Linked DNA regions of Arabidopsis thaliana. The protein of the gene in region 1 interacts with the protein of each later gene in a pairwise test. Each region holds a gene or a part of one and is shown in the gene's direction. Other genes may lie near its edges.

Region 1 (5,433 bases):
GGTGTTTCTTACAAGGCCATTCATATGAATCTACTTGCTTAGACCTAATTACATGGGCTAATATTATGGACTTGTCTCATAGGAATCTACTTGCTTAGACCTAATTACATGGGCTATTTGAGATTTTGCATTTTGTTGTAGAATTTTCTCTCTAGTTGTGATATACTTCACTATGTATATATTGACTCACCTCTGGTCATCCAAGTCCATACTAGTTTATACTTTCATTTTCATATCTTAGTAATTCGGATCCTATATCTAGAAGATAGATGGGCAACTGACAACACGTCACGATTGACGAGGTCCTTAATGAATCCAACACCACATAATTAAAGAGAGCTAACATTAGGATAACCATCCTCTCTTCTTTCCGACTTCCATATTTTCTTGTTTTTTTCAATTCTCTATTTAGAGACAATATAATTAAGAAGAAAATGAAGACTATTTCTACAAAGTAAACTCATCTTGTTTTGATTGTAATTTCAAGTTACTAATTCATCAGATCATGAAGACCATTCCATTGATATTCATCGCCACCATCATAATCTTGACATCATTTCCAGCCACGATCAAAGTCGTCGGTGCCAAAAAAGATCTACCATTTTGCAATGTGGAGCTTCTACCTTGCGTCCTACCTTTTAAAGTTCGTGGTCACGGAAGCAAACTGCCTAATGGCTGTTGTGAGAAAATGAAAAAGTCAACATCATGTATGTGTAGATTCCTAATGGCCAAGGAACGTGACCTGAACGCAGCTGCTCATAGAATATTCTGGTTTTGCAAAATTTCCGTCCCTAATTGTCCAAAAATCTAGAGATATAGGTTATGGTTTTTTCTTAATTTATTTTATACATAAGTTATGTTCCTCGACTATATCTACGACATGATTGATTGAAGCTCGAGAGACACAAGTTGAGCTTCAATACACAACCATTTAAGAAACATATAACCATTTAAGCGAAAATTATTATTAATACTTTATCCACCTTTGTAACTAACACACAGAAACATGATCCTGTGACATTTTACGTGTTCCAGATATCACTTGATCCTGTGACTTTTTAGCATTTTCCAGGGTACCTTAAAAGTCGAGTTATCGATCTCTGCTAGTAATATCTGTTTCTAAATTGACAAGTGAAAACGAAGTCGTTTCGTCAACACCAAAAGCATTAAACACGTCAAAAAGACAAAACCACCTTTGTCTTCTTGCGTTCTTCGCCCTCAACCCACCACTATCAATTTAAGACCAATCTGAAAACCATCATGACGACAAGGATCATACATTTTTTCTTTGCTTTCCTTCTCCTTGCCTCACTTTTCCTCAAAGGCAGTATTCTAAAATACATTCGTACATATATACGATGTTGTGAGAAGCCGTACAGTTGTATAACACAACTAAAGTAGCAATCTATTTGTTAAATTTTATGGTGAGTGTGGATTCATTCAAAACTTCCATCCCCATCACTACCTTCATCCATCCGACCATTCAAGCTTCGAACCTTAGATTCTGTGGATCAAACCATTGGTGGATATCCCGTGGCTGCCTCAATTCTATTCTACTTTCCATTCAAGATGGTTCAAAGTTCTACTTCAAGCAGATATTTTGTGAATGGATTTAAGTTATTATTCCTGTCTATTTGAGTTTTGTAGAATTTGCTTTCTAGTATACATACTTCACCATGTATTATAATTGACTCAACTTTGGTCATCCAAGTCTATACTAGTTTATACTTTCATATGGTATAGTTCGGGACCGAACATGGGGTCCTATATCTAGGAGATAGTGGAGCAGCTGACGACACGTGACGAGCTCCTTAATGAATAAAACTCCACATAAACAGAGCTAACAATAGGACAACCATCCTTCCATCTCTCCGACTTCCCATATTGTTTTGTTTCTCAATTTTCTATTTAAAGACATCTAAAAAATGAAGAAAACAAAGATTATTAATTTCTACAAAGTAAACTCATCTTATTTTGATTGTAATTTCGAGTTACTAATACATTAGCAATGAAGATCAGTCCATGGATACTCATAGCCATCATCATGATGATCTTAGCATCATTTCCTTCTCCGATCAAAGTCGTTGGTGCAAAAAAAGAGCTACCATTTTGCAATCTGGATCTTCTAGCTTGCGTCCAACCTTTTCTAGTTAACGGTCACGGAGGCAAACTGCCTAAAGGCTGTTGTGAGAAAATGAAAAAGTCAACATCATGCATGTGTAGATTCCTTACGGCCAAGGAACAGAATCTAAACGCAGCTGCTCATAGAATATTCTGGTTTTGCCATATTTCTGTCCCCAATTGTCCAAAAATATAGGGGTTATAGGTTATGTTCCTCGGCCATAATTATGACACTTTGTACTAAAATGTTATAACACCTATGGGCAAGGTGTTTCTAAATTGGTAAGTCGGAAAACGACGTCGTTTACAAAATCCGATCTGCACACACACTCACATTCATATGTCGTTCTTCGTCAACGTCGGTGAAGAAAGCATAAACACGTCAAAAGACAAAAGCACCTCTGTCTTCTTGCTTTCTTCGCCCTTTTACTTCAACCCACGAAGATCAATTCAACTAAACCAATCTCAAAACCATCATGAGGACAAGTTTTAGACTTCTCTTCTTCGCTTTCCTTCTACTTGTCTCACCTTTTCTCAAAGGTAACACCTTTCTCTTCTACTTGTTCATTCATTTGCTGATTCTACTCTGTTTTTGTTCACATGATCTTTGTTTGAATTCATTGTGATGGGTTTTGTTTGTTTTTAGTTGCTTTGTGCCAATCGGATTCGGAAGATTCTGGCTTCGAAGTTTCTGATGTTGGTGAAGAAGAGAGTGATGCAGAGGAAGTTTTTGGTTTGGAACTTACCTCAGCTCCTGGAATTGAAACCCTTTGCGTTTTCCCCAAGAACAGTGCAAAAAGTACAGATTTTTACTCTGTTTTTAATCTAATTTCTGAAATTAGGCTTCTTCTCAATTTGGTTTGTCTGATTTTCTGTAGTAATAAAAGCTGGAGTTGAGACTGAGCTGCTTGTTGGAATGAAAAATGATGGTAATGAAAGTGATTTTTCTATCAAATGATTACTTGCAAAGTTAGCTATAAAGTTTCTAACTTTGTGGTTGGGTTATATGAATAGGTCAATCCAATGTAGATATTGTTGCTGTTAAAGGCAGTTTACATCTTCCTTTTGATCAAAATGCTGTTCAGAATCTCACTGCTCTGGTAATTAATCATCTTTTGCTTCTTCTCACATTTATTGCTTGTGTGATCTCACTTGTCTTTCCATATTAGTTTTTCCCTTTGTTAGGTTCTTTTCATTGCCTGTTTTGTCTCATCTCATGTTACTCCACACTATGCACTCTTTGTTAGGTCATTCATGGTTTAGTAACAATACCTGAACTTGTTACATCCCTGTATCTAAATGCAAGAAAGTCTCTCTCTAGCCTTTAATCTTTATCATTTATGTTTTGATACCAGATACTTGCTTTGGCTCTAGCTATATTCCATTTCATTTCTAGATATAGAATCTTACAATGGCTTTTGCTGAATATAGAGTTTTCTCCTCTTTTCCTTTTCTGGCCTTTGCTCTTTAAGTTTGCTACTTATTATTTGGTCATTTTGTCGAATCATCTAAATGTAGAGTTTCAGCAACGCGTCTGTGCCAACTTCCGCTCAAGCTACCTTGCCATATGCTTTTGCTGTCAGCAAGTTCCTGCAGGTATGTTTGTTAATCATATAGTTCTTCTAGTCTCCAAGATGACATTAAAATATAGAATAGAATCCGAGGTAACCATTTGCTCGTGCAGGCGGGTGCTTTTGATTTTGTTGGCACCATCATCTATGAGATAGATGGTAAGCCATACCAAAGCATCTTTTATAATGGAACTATTGAAGTTGTTGAAGATGGTCCTCTCTTCAGAATGGAGTCAGTCTTCCTTAGTGGTCTTTTAATCTTTGTTATCGCTTTTCTCGCCATCTATATCCAAAATGTTTTGAAGCATATGACCAAGGTACATCCTATTTCGCTATCTTATCGCACTTTCATTCCATGGTACTAACTTTGAGAATGGTTACTGTGAAAATGCTTTGCGCAGAAAACAAAGAGAGCACCAAAAGTTGAAGTTGGAACCGCAACTAAAGATGCTTCGCATGATGAATGGCTTGAGGTATTCGTTGCACAAGACCTAATAACTTTCTCCATAATGGGTTTTAACTTTTAATGTATTGAACATTTTGGTATTGATACATTGCTCTCAATGTATTGTGTAATGCAGGGTACTTCGTACACTCAATCTTCGAGTAAGTCAAAGAAGAAGAAGTAGATCTCACACGCTTTGTTAGGGGGCTTGAGATAAGAAACCGAAAACACACGAACGATAGTAACGTTGCAGTTGTTGGTAGAGATAACTTCACAGAATCTGTAATGCTTTCTTTACTCTCTCTAGCTATAGATGTTGCAAGGAAACAATTTTCTTTAACTTTTGTAATTTGTCAAGATTATTTTCTTTTGTTTAAAATGATAATTCTCTTTCGAAAGTTCATGTATATAGTAAAGAAAAGTTGAATAATCATTAGATTAACAATATAGGTTGAAATTTTGTATTTGGAAATTATATCGTATAATCCAAGGTTTAAAATATGAGAGTTGTGTCATTAGACTATTATGATGCTCTATGAAGCTAATCCTCTCAGTCTCTACAATTATTTAAGAGTGGTTTGGGCTAAGTACATGTACATTATCGGAACTCTTATTTATCTCCAAACCAATGGGCTTCTTTTTACGACATTGGGCTTAATATTCCTGGCCCGTAAATAAATCAATGAAACGACTACTTAATATCTTATCCAGTAAAAAGGTAGAGAAAAAAAAAACACAATATTCTCTCTCTGCCTCGGATCCACGCAACTATTAACCCTAGTTAGATTCAACACTAACCACAGTTAACACGAACCCTTTCAATCTTCCTCCACGTGTCAAAATCAACGGTCACAAAAATCATTTCCTTCTCTTTATAAAACACTACCAAAACCCTAATCTCTTTCACACAATCACAGAACCTAATCTTCTTCTCCAATCAATCTCAGAGAAAAAAAGAAATGGCAACAAACCCTAAAGTCTACTTCGACATGACCGTCGGTGGCAAATCCGCCGGTCGTATCGTGATGGAGCTTTACGCCGACACAACACCAGAAACCGCCGAGAATTTCAGAGCACTCTGTACCGGAGAGAGAGGAATCGGTAAACAAGGTAAGCCATTACACTACAAAGGATCAAGCTTTCACCGAGTGATTCCGAAATTCATGTGTCAAGGAGGTGATTTCACAGCCGGGAATGGTACCGGAGGTGAATCTATCTATGGATCGAAGTTCAAAGACGAGAACTTTATCAAGAAACATACAGGACCAGGTATTTTGTCTATGGCTAACGCTGGTG
Region 2 (4,321 bases), about 12 Mb from region 1:
ATGGTTGCTTCAAACAATCCCATTACTCCATCCTTTTCATTGTCCCTCTATTTTAGGCTCTTTGTGCTCATCTCTATTTTCTTTCTTTGATCAAAATTATTATACCACAAGACTTTTTTTTGTGCTTAAATTTTAGTCGTCATATACGACAATTTTTTATATACGAAGTTTATTATTATTAACATCAATTGATTATTCATATATTTTTAATCAAGTGGCCTTTTTAATAACTCTCTATTCTTTTGACGTAAGAACAAATAGTAACTTTTATTTGTAGAATATTCATTCTAAGAAATTAATACGTAAATACATATATTTCTCACCCGTGAAACACCACCAGTCGAGTAACGTGATTGAAGATATGTTTAAAAAAAAAAAAAACATGATTGAAGATATGAGAGAGCAAGAGTCAGTGAACTATTTTGGCCGCACACATGTGACACATATATATATGTGTATTATTCCTTTTGGATTTACTACATTCATTCTGATTTCTGAACCATTAGTAACCCTTGAAAAGTAAAAGCTGATAACGTTTTAGGATTTGCAAATTTGAAAAAAGATGACCCTACATTATTTCCAACTGCAACATGCACGTTCCTGTTATGTTAAAAGATATTATTATAGTATATATATTTTGAAACATAAAATGATTGATGTAACTGATCCAACGGCTAATTCCTCTTACTAGTTAGTGAATTAGCCACCTAATAAAGATTACATGAATCATTAAATAACAAATATAATAACTATACAACAAATAATTCATATTGTCGTACATTCAACAACCGAGGTACTCCAAATTAAAAAAGAAGTCAAGCACACTCATATATATTTTAATTTTTAACTGATAACCTTGAAAGAAAAAGAAAAAGGATATGGAATAGAATGGTAAAATCAATCAATCTGCCATGGTTATGAATCAAAAACCATAGAAAAATCGTTATTTACTGTTTAGTATTATAAATAGTGTCAAGTTAAAAAGTTTTTAATATTGTAAAATACACTCTACCTAAACAAAACAGCATATGTAAGATAACATCATCACGATAAATTGTTTTATTCTGACACCACATGTGAGATAGATAGGAAAATCTTTAGTATTTAAAAAATCAAAATGTTGGCAGATTAACCGATAATCACGCAGATTAACACCTACTGAGATAGCCGTTAAATAAATTAATCGACATAGCAGAAACAAATAATTGAGTATCAATAAAAAAAAGGAATAATAGAGAGAGAGAGAGACTGACTAATGAGTCACATATGACGAATGAGTCCAGTTTGGCTGCCAGTCTGTCAGCCCCTACCATTACACCACCTCTAAAGATTTGTATTTTATCATAATCCAACCAAACAATGCTTACAAAAAAAAGATAATCACATCACATCACATGGCCTTCTTCGTCGCTGTAACGTTTAATTAAACTAGCCGCCAATTTCTTTTAAAGATTTTTTTGTTTTGTTTTTGGGCTTATGTTTAAACCATATAATCCATAACTTCATTTCTATTGCTATTTTTGAATTTACCCTATAAAGCTACCAATATTGAATTTTTGTAATTCATTTAAGTTTATTACATAAATAATTTATTTACTTATATGATTATAATTTTTTTTATCGGCTATATGATTGTAATTTAGATCAGTACCTAATCAAGTTTCTATCTTTTTCTATCCGTTGACAGAAAAAAGAAAACAATTTTCTATCAACAATTCACAAATCAAATTGGATTAGAGATACAACAACTTTAGTCAAAATTCTAACACAACAATTCATACTTTTGATCATTCAAACATGATTTTATTTTTTATTTATCTAGAAACATAGTAATGTCAATTTTGACAATTATTCATTCAAAAAAAAATGTCAATTTTGACAAGAAAACTAGGAAAAAAAAGAACAATAGAGGAATGGTCAAAAAAGAATAAAAGAAAATTCGAGGAAAATCATGCTTCTTAGAAGTTTTTTGTTTAATTAGCTTGACTAGTAAATAGATTTGACCGGATAAATAACCGGTTGAAACCGGTAACCTTTAACCGGTCTTCATACTATAAGAACACCTTAAACAAGTCGTCTCCTTCCACTTCTTGCTTTATTCCTCTCATACCGTTTTCTCTCTCTCCTCCGTCGTCTCTGCAGAATCACTCTCTCGCCGGAGTTTTTCACCTGCAGAGCTCTCGATTTTTTCTCTCGAGCATCATCATTTTCGTCGGATCAATCACCAAGAGATGGCGTCGAGAAACTCCGTCACCGGATTCGCGTTGTTCAGTTTTGTATTCGCCGTCATCTTATCTCTCGCCGGCGCTCAATCCCTGGCTCCAGCTCCTGCTCCCACCAGCGATGGTAAGCCTCTCTACTTCTCTCTCTCTCTTCTTCCACGATATTCGCATTTCCAGATCTGAATCGAGACTCTCTCCGCGTGAAATCTGGAAACAGTCGAATTGGATTACGAATTCGTTTCTCTCTGACATTTGAAAATGGTGTGTTTTGGAAATGGCAGGAACATCGATAGATCAAGGGATAGCGTATTTGCTAATGGTGGTGGCGTTAGTGCTGACTTACCTAATTCATCCTCTTGATGCTTCTTCTTCCTACTCCTTCTTCTAATCTCTCTCTCTCTTTCTTCTGTTTTTTTTTATTTCTTTGCAACTTCTTATTAGTTTCTTCAATTTGCCTTTTTTCTTCTTCTTGTGGATAAAATTTTCAAGAGTTAATTTCATCATCATGTTCTCGATTATGATTTCTGGAGATTGATTGATTGATGATAATCTCTACTGTTTGTTCTTTTTTGTTTATTCTCTTCCATATTAAATTTATTCTTCTTCCCTTATAATATTTGTGTAAATGTCATCATTTAGCTTAAATTACCAGATATTTGACAATTACCAACTTTATTGGCCTCACAAAAGAAATCTCTGACCAGTTCAGAAGCAGGATATGAAAGCCAGAAAATTTGCTCAACTCTTTTGAATTCGATTCTCAAAGTCTTATCTTCAGATTACAATTTCTCATGAAAAAGTTTATAAATCACGGAATTGTATATATGCCATTTCACATGTCATTTATAAATCACACCCTTGATCAGCATGCATGGAGTTAATTTCTTGCCATAAGAATCTCGTGTTAATTTACTTGTTCTTACAAAAAATATTAAAACGAAAAACAAATGCAACAACTTGCATAAATAATATTCCTTCTTGACAAAAAAAAATCAAGTTTTGCCGTAAGCACCTAATACGGTAACCTTTATTGGATTAGACGCGCAAGTGTGTTCTTTTTAGCTTCGCATCAAAACAAAATCTGTCTAGTATAAGTGTTACTGTTGGTGGAAGTTGTGCAGTCCGTACTTGACCACTTCGTAAAACGATACCACAATGGCTACAGATGGTCCTGCTCGTCCCACTCTAGCCCCTGCTCCACTAAACATCCCTCTCATCCCTCCGTCCCTATACCAAAAACCCGACCGGGATGGTTAAGTTTGGAAACACGAAAATTGTCTAATGGATCTCTAACTCATACCTCCAAATCTCTGCCAAGGTTTGTCTTGTGGTCATTGTCATGGCTCTATCTGTGTTCTTCTGCATAATCCAAACAAATTTAACTGTTACTTGGTTTAAGATCCAAAACTTACTTAATGCAAGCTGGCGATGAATTCTAGTTTGTAGAGCAACACAGTGGAATTATGAAAGATGAAGTGAAAAAGGTATGTTTACCTCTATTTGACGCCTAGTCTTTGCAACATCTAGAGGGCAAGTAGCTGCTGCAGCAACTGCACCCGCAACAAAACCAGCAGCGAAGTTTGCACCTATTATACTGCCTGCCCTTGGTTCTTCACCCATGGCCGACTGAATGCTTCTCCGGGTCTAAAGTCACAATGAAACAATCGTGAGGACATGGATGGAAGACACAATGGGTGAATATGGATGTGTTTTTCAGAGACAGATTACTACTCACAGGCTCAAGTATCGACCAGCAGATTGCAGAGAATGGAACATCCCTAGCAAGTTGAGCACCAAGACCAGTCCATAACATCCTATATCCATTATTTGAGCCCTTCACTGGATTGACGACGTCAACTAATGTCTTCCAAACGCCAGGCAGTTTCACATTTCTTTGCGTTCCCTTAAATGCCTGTTAGTAAAACACAAGAATCGATATCCATTGGTTCTGTGTCCATATCTCCACACCATTACAATGAATGAGGGCGAAAATCCTTAAAGAGTTACCTGCATCCGTGTCCTTGCTAACTCAACAGGGTAACAAGAGATACAAGCCAAGGAGCGTGCTATTGTCCCAGCAACTAGAGGGACATAAACCG
Region 3 (8,175 bases), on another chromosome or scaffold:
TTTTAAAACCTTTTAAAATCTCTTGTAAATCATTTAAAACCTTTTTAAAATTTTTTTGATGGAAAATAGATTTACTAGGGATTTTAAAAGAGTTTTAAAATATTTACAAAGAATTTTTAAAGGGTTTTAAAAGATTTACAATGGATTTTAAAAGGGTTTTAAAAGATTTATAAGGGATTTTAAAAGAGTTTTAATATTGATAAATATATATTTATATTTATGACGAGAGAAATAAAAAGAAGAAAAAAGTAAACGTACGTCATTTTAGAAGAAAACTTTTTCTTTTGCTATATGTAGAGGAATTAAATCTTCTACTTTACTCTGCTTTTTGACTTTTCAAAAAGAAAAAGATTTTTTATTTACAATAGAAAAGTATATTACATTACATAATACACAATCAAATTTCATATTTCAAATAATAATTCAGTAAATTTTGTAATTTATTACAATATCTTTATTTAATAATTATTTTGTTTCCAGCACATAAAGTATCTACAATACTATTATTTAATAAAATAACACAAAATATTATGAATATTTCTGATTTATAAGAAATAAGGTTGAATTTTGATGAAATTCAAAGTTATTATATTTCACATATAATCAGGTTACCTAAAACACGAATATAACATATGTTCTTAAGTTAATAACATTATCTAAAAACTCTTAAAATGATCCAAAATGTCAACTGTAACTCATAAAACGTTAATGTAGATTTTAGTACAAATTTAAATTAATATATTTAAAAGTTTTATCAATCATAATTATTATATATTTTGGTGATTTTTAACAAAACTTAACTAATCTTTCTTTTTTTTTGTAATCAAAACGCAAACTAACGAAACCAATTGTGAAAATTTTGATTTACAATATTAAAGTATACATAATTTATTAAAAACATAACAAAAATAACATCATTGAAAACCTTTATAAAAAATATATAACTAAATGCTGTGACTACTTTCCTAAGTTTCTCTCAAGTTTTTTTCAAGTTTTGCTCAATTATTTATTTGGTAAATTATATGCAGAAAAACAAAACAATTCCACAACTTTTTCTCAAGGTTTTTTTTTTGTGTGCTCATAATTTATAAATTGAAATTAGAAAGATACATGAAGATTAGGCTTCATCGGAGAAATCCGAGTAACAAGTTCGAAAATTGAAAAGCTTAACCATACATAACTCAAACATAGAGACACGAACTGCAGTAAGCTTGATAGGGGAAGAAGTGTCGAAACTAACTAACACAAGCATGCCCATGAGGAAGGGACGGATAACGAAGAAACTCCATGAGTTGACAACTCTCTGCGAAGTCAAAGCATGTGTGGTAACCTACAGTCCGTACGAGAATCCAGTGGTGTGGTCGTCAACCGAAGGTGTTTAAGAGGCGGTTTTAATGTTTATTAAAAGGCCGGCGATAGAACGGTCCAAGCTGATGATGAGTCATGAGACCTACTTGTAGAACCAAATTACCAAAGAAACAAAGAAACTGGAGCGTCTACGTCTTGAAAACCGAGAAACTCAGCTTACACATTTTATGTTTGATTGTGTTGAGGGTAAGATAAGTGAGCATCAGTATGGTGCAAGGGACCTTCAAGATTTAAGTTTTCATATTGATCACTATATCAATCAGCTTAATTCCAGGGTCAAGATCCTTACAAACAATGGTGAGTCTTCTTCTTCCGTTCCTCCTCTACTTCATACTTCAGTTGCGGGTGCGGGTGCAGCTCCTCTTCCTGTTGCGGGTGCCGATCTTCCGATGGATCAGAATCAGTATGAGCCGATTCAGCTCTATATCCCTATTGGTCTTAGTTATCATATTCAATACCAACATGAAATCTATGATAATTTCAGTTTGGATCCAAATCATTAGTATCCGTTTCAACATGATCCACTCATGAATATGTTGATGGAATATCCTTATCAACAAGTGGGTTATGTTGGAGAGCATGCGCACATCCTTTTCATGAACGGAAACTACTACAACTACCACCAAACACCAACCGTTGGTCTTACTACCACCGGTCACATGCCTTCCAACAACAACACCACCCCCACCACCGATGTGTGATGTGTTTCAATAGTTTGCATTTTTGTTTTGTTCGTTTCAAAAAACCTTAAACTCTTACAACAATTAATTGGATTTGGTTTGGTTATAAAAGATGTGTCTATTCAAACACCAACTTTTGGTAAAATATTTGTAGAGGCCATACCTCGCTGTGATATATATTTCGACTATCTCATCCCATTTTTTGGGTGATTTGTTCAAAACTAGCTATGTCTTTTTCGGTATGCAATGTATAAATGTAAATGTAATTTTGACAAATTTTAAATTTTATTTAAAATTTATTTATGAAAAGTATTCATTTTGCATATAAAATACCAATTTGGCAAATTAAAGAATCTTAAAAAGAGGTGTAGGCCGGCTTTTCATTTCCTCCGTACGTAAATAAACAACCCACCAAACAAAAATCTCTCCTCGCTCCATGCCTTCTCTACTCTCTCTTCATTCTCTCCTAAGCTATGGCGAGAAGAGAAGGAGAAGTGACGGAGACCCTTCTGAAAAAGTCGACGGAGAATCGCGGAGAAGATCGGGATGGGTTAGGGATGAAGGAGAAGGTTTGGAGGGAATCTAAAAAGCTATGGGTTGTGGCTGGGCCGGCGATCTTTACGAGGTTCTCCACGTCCGGACTATCTTTGATAAGTCAAGCTTTCATTGGCCATCTTGGCTCTACCGAGTTGGCCGCTTACTCCATCACTCTCACCGTTCTCCTCCGTTTTAGTAATGGTATCTTGGTGAGTTTACTATAAGTCTATAACGATTAGATCAGTTCTTCCACACACTCTTTACTACAAATTCGTAAAACATAAAAACAATTTTTTTTTGTTTTAATAACTATTAATATATGTTAAGGATTGTTCTGATTAGTTTGAATGATATAAATCGTACTATATAAACGGTGACGTGAATGCTTAGATAGACTTCTTGTGGGAACTTGTTTTGGTTGATTTGTCAACCAATCATAAAAATTCACAACCACTCAACTCTTTGCCTTTATGAAATGAAATTATGCTATTTCTATGTATATAAGATATTGAATGTTTGGAAGGCATTGTTGGTCGTATACTCTTCGTTTATTGTTAGTGTAGTTACCTTTTTCACATAAACAAGTCTCAACTGAAACTCCATGAGTTTTGATTATTACATCAATTATTATTAATGGTTGGAAATGCAACAAAAACATTTCATTGTTAAGTAGAATCAGTGGGTAAATACAAAATAGAATAAAGTTTAGAAAGTTGGAGAATATAACAAACACCTTTAACCAAAAAAAAGTTGGAGAATATATTGATTTTATAAAAAGTGAAAAAAAAATATTGTAAGAAATGACAAAAAAAATAAAGGAATAGTCAGAAGATTAATTTATATTAAGACAATATATTCCCTTTTCTTATTTGTACTCCATAGTGCAACAAAGATAACATTGTCAAGAAGTATAGCGAGTCATTGGCCACAAATGTCCAATGGTCACCTGCCAATGCCATCGTTTTCTTAATGTTTTGGTCTTTAATTAGCATATCATGTGTGAGGTTCGAATTTATAATATGAAATAGTGCTTTTAAAATGTTATTAGACCATTGGACATATATTCAGTTACACCAAAAAAATTCAATACACAATATATGATCTCTTTACCAACAAGAGTTTATAGGTTATATACATTTTTTAGTTATCAACATGCAATATCCAAGTTTAAAGTTTAAATATTATAGTTGTTTATATATAAGCGTTTATCAAACCTACTTAGTTCTTGTTTTATAGGCAAAATATGTAAAATATTTAACCATAAAATAGTTTTTTTTTGGTGTAATAACGAACCGTCAATGAAACAATATGCAGTTAGGCATGGCTAGTGCGCTAGAAACACTATGTGGTCAAGCCTATGGAGCAAAACAATATCATATGCTTGGGATCTACCTCCAAAGATCATGGATCGTCCTCACAGGCTGTACCATTTGCCTTATGCCCATCTACATCTTTGCAGGCCCTATTCTCTTGGCTTTAGGTCAAGAGGAACGCCTTGTTCGTGTGGCTCGGATCATAGCTCTATGGGTCATAGGCATCAACATCTCCTTTGTGCCTTCCTTCACTTGCCAAATGTTCCTCCAAGCTCAGAGTAAGAACAAGATCATCGCCTACGTTGCTGCTGTTTCGTTAGGAGTCCATGTCTTCTTGTCGTGGCTTCTAGTGGTTCATTTTGATTTCGGGATCGCTGGTGCCATGACCTCTTCGCTCGTAGCACATTGGTTGCCTAACATTGCGCAGGTTTTATTTGTCACATGCGGTGGATGTACGGAAACGTGGAGAGGATTCTCTTGGTTGGCTTTCAAGGATCTTTGGCCCGTTTTTAAACTATCTGTATCTTCCGGTGGCATGATTTGGTATGATTTTCTAATCTTCTCACCTGGTAAAAGTATCAACATCCATCAACGACATAAGTATATATTTACTAGTCATACAAATACTTTTGTAGACCATGTGGTTGTAATCATATATATGAAAAGTTGACCAACTCTCTCCAAATGATTAACACATCATCACTTTAGCATTTGCCATGTGTCTACTAAGTAATTAATGTAAGCTCTTCAACTTCTAATTTATAGGTTAATGATATATTTATTATTTAATTTTACATATTTAATTATAGTATTACTAAATTTATTTTAATATTACATGATTTTTCAATAAAACAATTTTAATAGTTTTCTCATACTCGAAGATTTTTTTTTGTAATCCAAACTCAAAATACGATTATATAATAGTCTTAGATTACTTAATGATTTGAGTAAGTTATTCTCTTAAATTGATATTTATATTCTCTTAAATTGATATTTATACAATAAATCACTGAGAGTGAAGAATACGTAAGGAGCTCCATCATCAAATTCTTAGGTTTCTAGAATCCAAAACTACCCTCTGTTAAGTTGGTTTAATACAAACGTTATTTATGAATTATATGTATGATGCATTGTTGAGAATGTTGTTAGAAAAAATATTCTTGAAACTAAAAATAATTGCTTATTGCATGAATAAATAATTAGATAAATAAAAATTATATTTAAACTAAACAATACGAAAAATTCCGAAAAAACCGCGGCGTAGCGCGGGTGATCACCTAATTTATATATAATGCCACGTTGGGTGAAAAGCTGCCAAGTACATTCATTCATTTTCTCAAAGGTTGAGAAATTTTGAATAAATGTTATAGAGAAAAATTTCGTGTTTATGTATTTGTATAATAATATTATTACTATAATAGTATTAATATTATTGTTATAATATTACTATGATTAATATATATATATATACACATATATTATGATAATATATAATAGCACTTGCTTGGTGATATTAATTTTTGGCAGCTTGGAGCTATGGTACAACTCGATCTTGATTCTGCTCACGGGAAACTTGAAAAACGCTGAGGTTGCTCTTAACGCACTTGCAATCTGGTAAAGTATTTTTATCAGTTTTATGTCTTTTGTCTTTGAAGCTATATTCATACGATCGATTTGTACATTATCTTTAGATCATTCGTCTGAATGCTACTGACATTTTACCATTTTTGACTTCATACGGAACACTACTGACGAACATTGTTCGTAGGAAAACAGAAAGAATTGGTTTTATTGTCTACATAACAATATACATTGATGCTAGAGAAAATGATAGGTTTAGGTTACCAATTGTACTTATACTCTCTAGCTAATTGGTAGCCGCGGAATAGCATAATGCTTTTGCGATTGATCATAGGCACTTAGATTCAATATTATATGTTATAATTTTCGCAGCATCAATATAAATGCACTGGAGATGATGGTAGCCTTCGGCTTCATGGCAGCAGCAAGGTGCGTATATATTGTATATACTAGATATATTTGATTATATTCTTCTTGATTAAGTCATTCTAAATATTTGATTACACATGCTTTATTTAAATATCTTATAATCATCTTCATATTTTTATTTTATTTTGTAATAATGTTTTGTAATAGTGTAAGAGTTTCAAACGAGATCGGGAGTGGGAATTCTAATGGAGCCAAATTTGCAACAATGGTTGTGGTTTCGACATCACTTTCGATAGGAATCATCTTCTTCTTTATCTTCCTGTTTTTAAGAGAAAGGGTTTCATACATTTTTACAACAAGTGAAGCTGTTGCCACACAAGTAGCCGATCTTTCTCCACTCTTGGCCTTCTCCATTCTCTTGAACAGTATTCAACCAGTTCTCTCTGGTATGTATCTTGCCTTTTCGATACTCCTATATTGTTTACCATATATAAGACATTAATTCATCGAACGTTGTAGGGATTCATTTTTCAATGATCACTCTATATTCATGCATTGACTGAATATGTGAAATTGGTTATTATAGGTTTTTACGTAGAAAGGGTTTTGTGTGATATATATCCACTATCCAGTCACTTTCACGTATAATGAGTTACCAATTTATCATTATATGATGAATACGTGACGAATGAGTTTGTTTATAACCCTAGACAACATGTTGAACTTATTTATAAATGGGTACAGGAGTTGCTGTTGGAGCGGGATGGCAGAAATATGTTACGGTCGTTAACCTTGCTTGCTATTACCTTGTTGGAATTCCTTCCGGTCTTTTTCTTGGCTATGTCGTTGGTTTACAAGTCAAAGTAAGTCTCAATTTTTATTATTAATATTTTCTTTTTAGTTTTTTAATTTAATTTTGTATATACAAATATAAAATAGTTTTTTTTTAAATATAAAATTTAGGGTGTTTGGTTAGGAATGATTTTCGGAATCTTCGTTCAGACTTGCGTGCTTACAGTAATGACTATGAGAACAGACTGGGATCAACAGGTTTGCAAATCGAATATTATTGGATTTTTAGTAGAAAATTATAAGTATTTTTTTTTGGTTATAATATAAGAACTGACTTGTATATATACATTACTCCTTATTGTTATAAATAATGCAGGTGTCTTCGTCGTTGAAACGTTTGAACCGTTGGGTTGAACCAGAATCCCCAAGTCGAAACCAAACTTTACAAAACGAATGATGGTGAAGATTGAAGTAAAACTTGAGTTTGTATTCGAATTTTGAATTTCTACTTCACCCTCGAATGTACACACTTGCGTAAAATGTAAATGTGAAACAAGTGGTAACGAATTTGGACCACTAAAGTATCAGTCCTTAACTCAGTGATCATTTTCACCTACTAAACTAGGAATCTTTAAGAGCTTTCAAGTGGCAAACCAATTATCGCACATTCTTAGAGAAAAAAATTTGAGAGGAAAAAACGGTAAACAAATACTGATATAGATCAAAGAAGAAAGAAATAGCACTACAACAAAAATCTAGTGTAACTATTATAAAGCTGTCGTAACAAATCAAAGCCATTTTGTTTTGTTAGCATTTTGTTTCGAATTTTTCTTGGCTATGCTATAGATTTGCAGATAAAGGTAGAATTATTTTTTCATTATTATGATTTTTCAAAACAAAATATACGTTGTTTTCTTATTTTAACATTTCTTCTACCGAATTTTTATTCACCAAATTTTTTTATGTAGTATAAAATTTAAAACTATTTTTCTTTCAATGTCAAAATCTATACTATTAATTGGGAAGTATTGTAAATAAACAACCTTATGAAGGGTAGAATATTACATAGAATGCCATTGATTGTTAGTGTTTTTAAATAAATTCATTAAGGATACAATAGTAATCACAAAATTAATAGATTTAAATTAAAAATTGTAATATTTTTTAAAGTAATTATTAGTTTCCCAAAATTAAAATAACTTTCTCTTTCCTATTAATTATGGACGAAAAATTAAACTTTATTTCTTAAAATTTATTAACCAATAAGAATTGCAAAACTAAGATTTGATATCCAATTATACTATTTTATTAAACTAACATTTTTGAAGTTAATTTTTATTTATTTTTTTTAAAAAATCATAAAACTTGCTTGATACCATTAATAAAAATCATAATTTGCGATAGATAAATAAATTTAATTTTAGAATTTTGGGTTAAGTATTTTGAAATATAAAATGAAAACAATTATTTCACAATTTCTAAAAAACAAGATTAGATATAACAAAGATTTATATTTACTATGAATTAAACTAAAA

What was found.
Region 2: the proteins of AT2G16595 (region 1) and AGP16 interact in a protein complementation assay, tested with the Arabidopsis thaliana proteins (one large-scale study listed by BioGRID).
Region 3: the proteins of AT2G16595 (region 1) and AT1G33080 interact in a protein complementation assay, tested with the Arabidopsis thaliana proteins (one large-scale study listed by BioGRID).

Annotation. Positions count from the first base shown.
Region 1 is NC_003071.7:7,195,766-7,201,198, forward strand, and holds AT2G16595 (Translocon-associated protein (TRAP), alpha subunit), read left to right. Parts: upstream 1-2,361; 5' UTR 2,362-2,597; coding exon 2,598-2,661; intron 2,662-2,767; coding exon 2,768-2,920; intron 2,921-2,999; coding exon 3,000-3,050; intron 3,051-3,135; coding exon 3,136-3,221; intron 3,222-3,639; coding exon 3,640-3,717; intron 3,718-3,805; coding exon 3,806-4,009; intron 4,010-4,093; coding exon 4,094-4,165; intron 4,166-4,273; coding exon 4,274-4,321; 3' UTR 4,322-4,620; downstream 4,621-5,433. Other genes in the region: AT2G16592 (Bifunctional inhibitor/lipid-transfer protein/seed storage 2S albumin superfamily protein), read left to right, coding at 506-811; AT2G16594 (Bifunctional inhibitor/lipid-transfer protein/seed storage 2S albumin superfamily protein), read left to right, coding at 2,009-2,317; ROC3 (rotamase CYP 3), read left to right, coding at 5,097-5,433.
Region 2 is NC_003071.7:19,017,019-19,021,339, reverse strand, and holds AGP16 (arabinogalactan protein 16), read left to right. Parts: upstream 1-1,975; 5' UTR 1,976-2,231; coding exon 2,232-2,346; coding exon of another isoform or gene 2,347-2,405; exon of another isoform or gene 2,406-2,503; coding exon 2,504-2,610; 3' UTR 2,611-3,076; downstream 3,077-4,321. Other genes in the region: AT2G46320 (Mitochondrial substrate carrier family protein), read right to left, coding at 3,320-3,449, 3,523-3,581, 3,717-3,866, 3,958-4,134, 4,230-4,321. UniProt on the Arabidopsis thaliana protein: Proteoglycan that seems to be implicated in diverse developmental roles such as differentiation, cell-cell recognition, embryogenesis and programmed cell death.
Region 3 is NC_003070.9:11,983,231-11,991,405, forward strand, and holds AT1G33080 (MATE efflux family protein), read left to right. Parts: upstream 1-2,419; 5' UTR 2,420-2,521; coding exon 2,522-2,794; intron 2,795-3,899; coding exon 3,900-4,441; intron 4,442-5,425; coding exon 5,426-5,512; intron 5,513-5,851; coding exon 5,852-5,908; intron 5,909-6,055; coding exon 6,056-6,294; intron 6,295-6,592; coding exon 6,593-6,711; intron 6,712-6,811; coding exon 6,812-6,898; coding exon of another isoform or gene 6,899-6,967; exon of another isoform or gene 6,968-7,016; coding exon 7,017-7,097; 3' UTR 7,098-7,290; downstream 7,291-8,175. Other genes in the region: AT1G33070 (MADS-box family protein), read left to right, coding at 1,554-1,851, 1,945-2,069.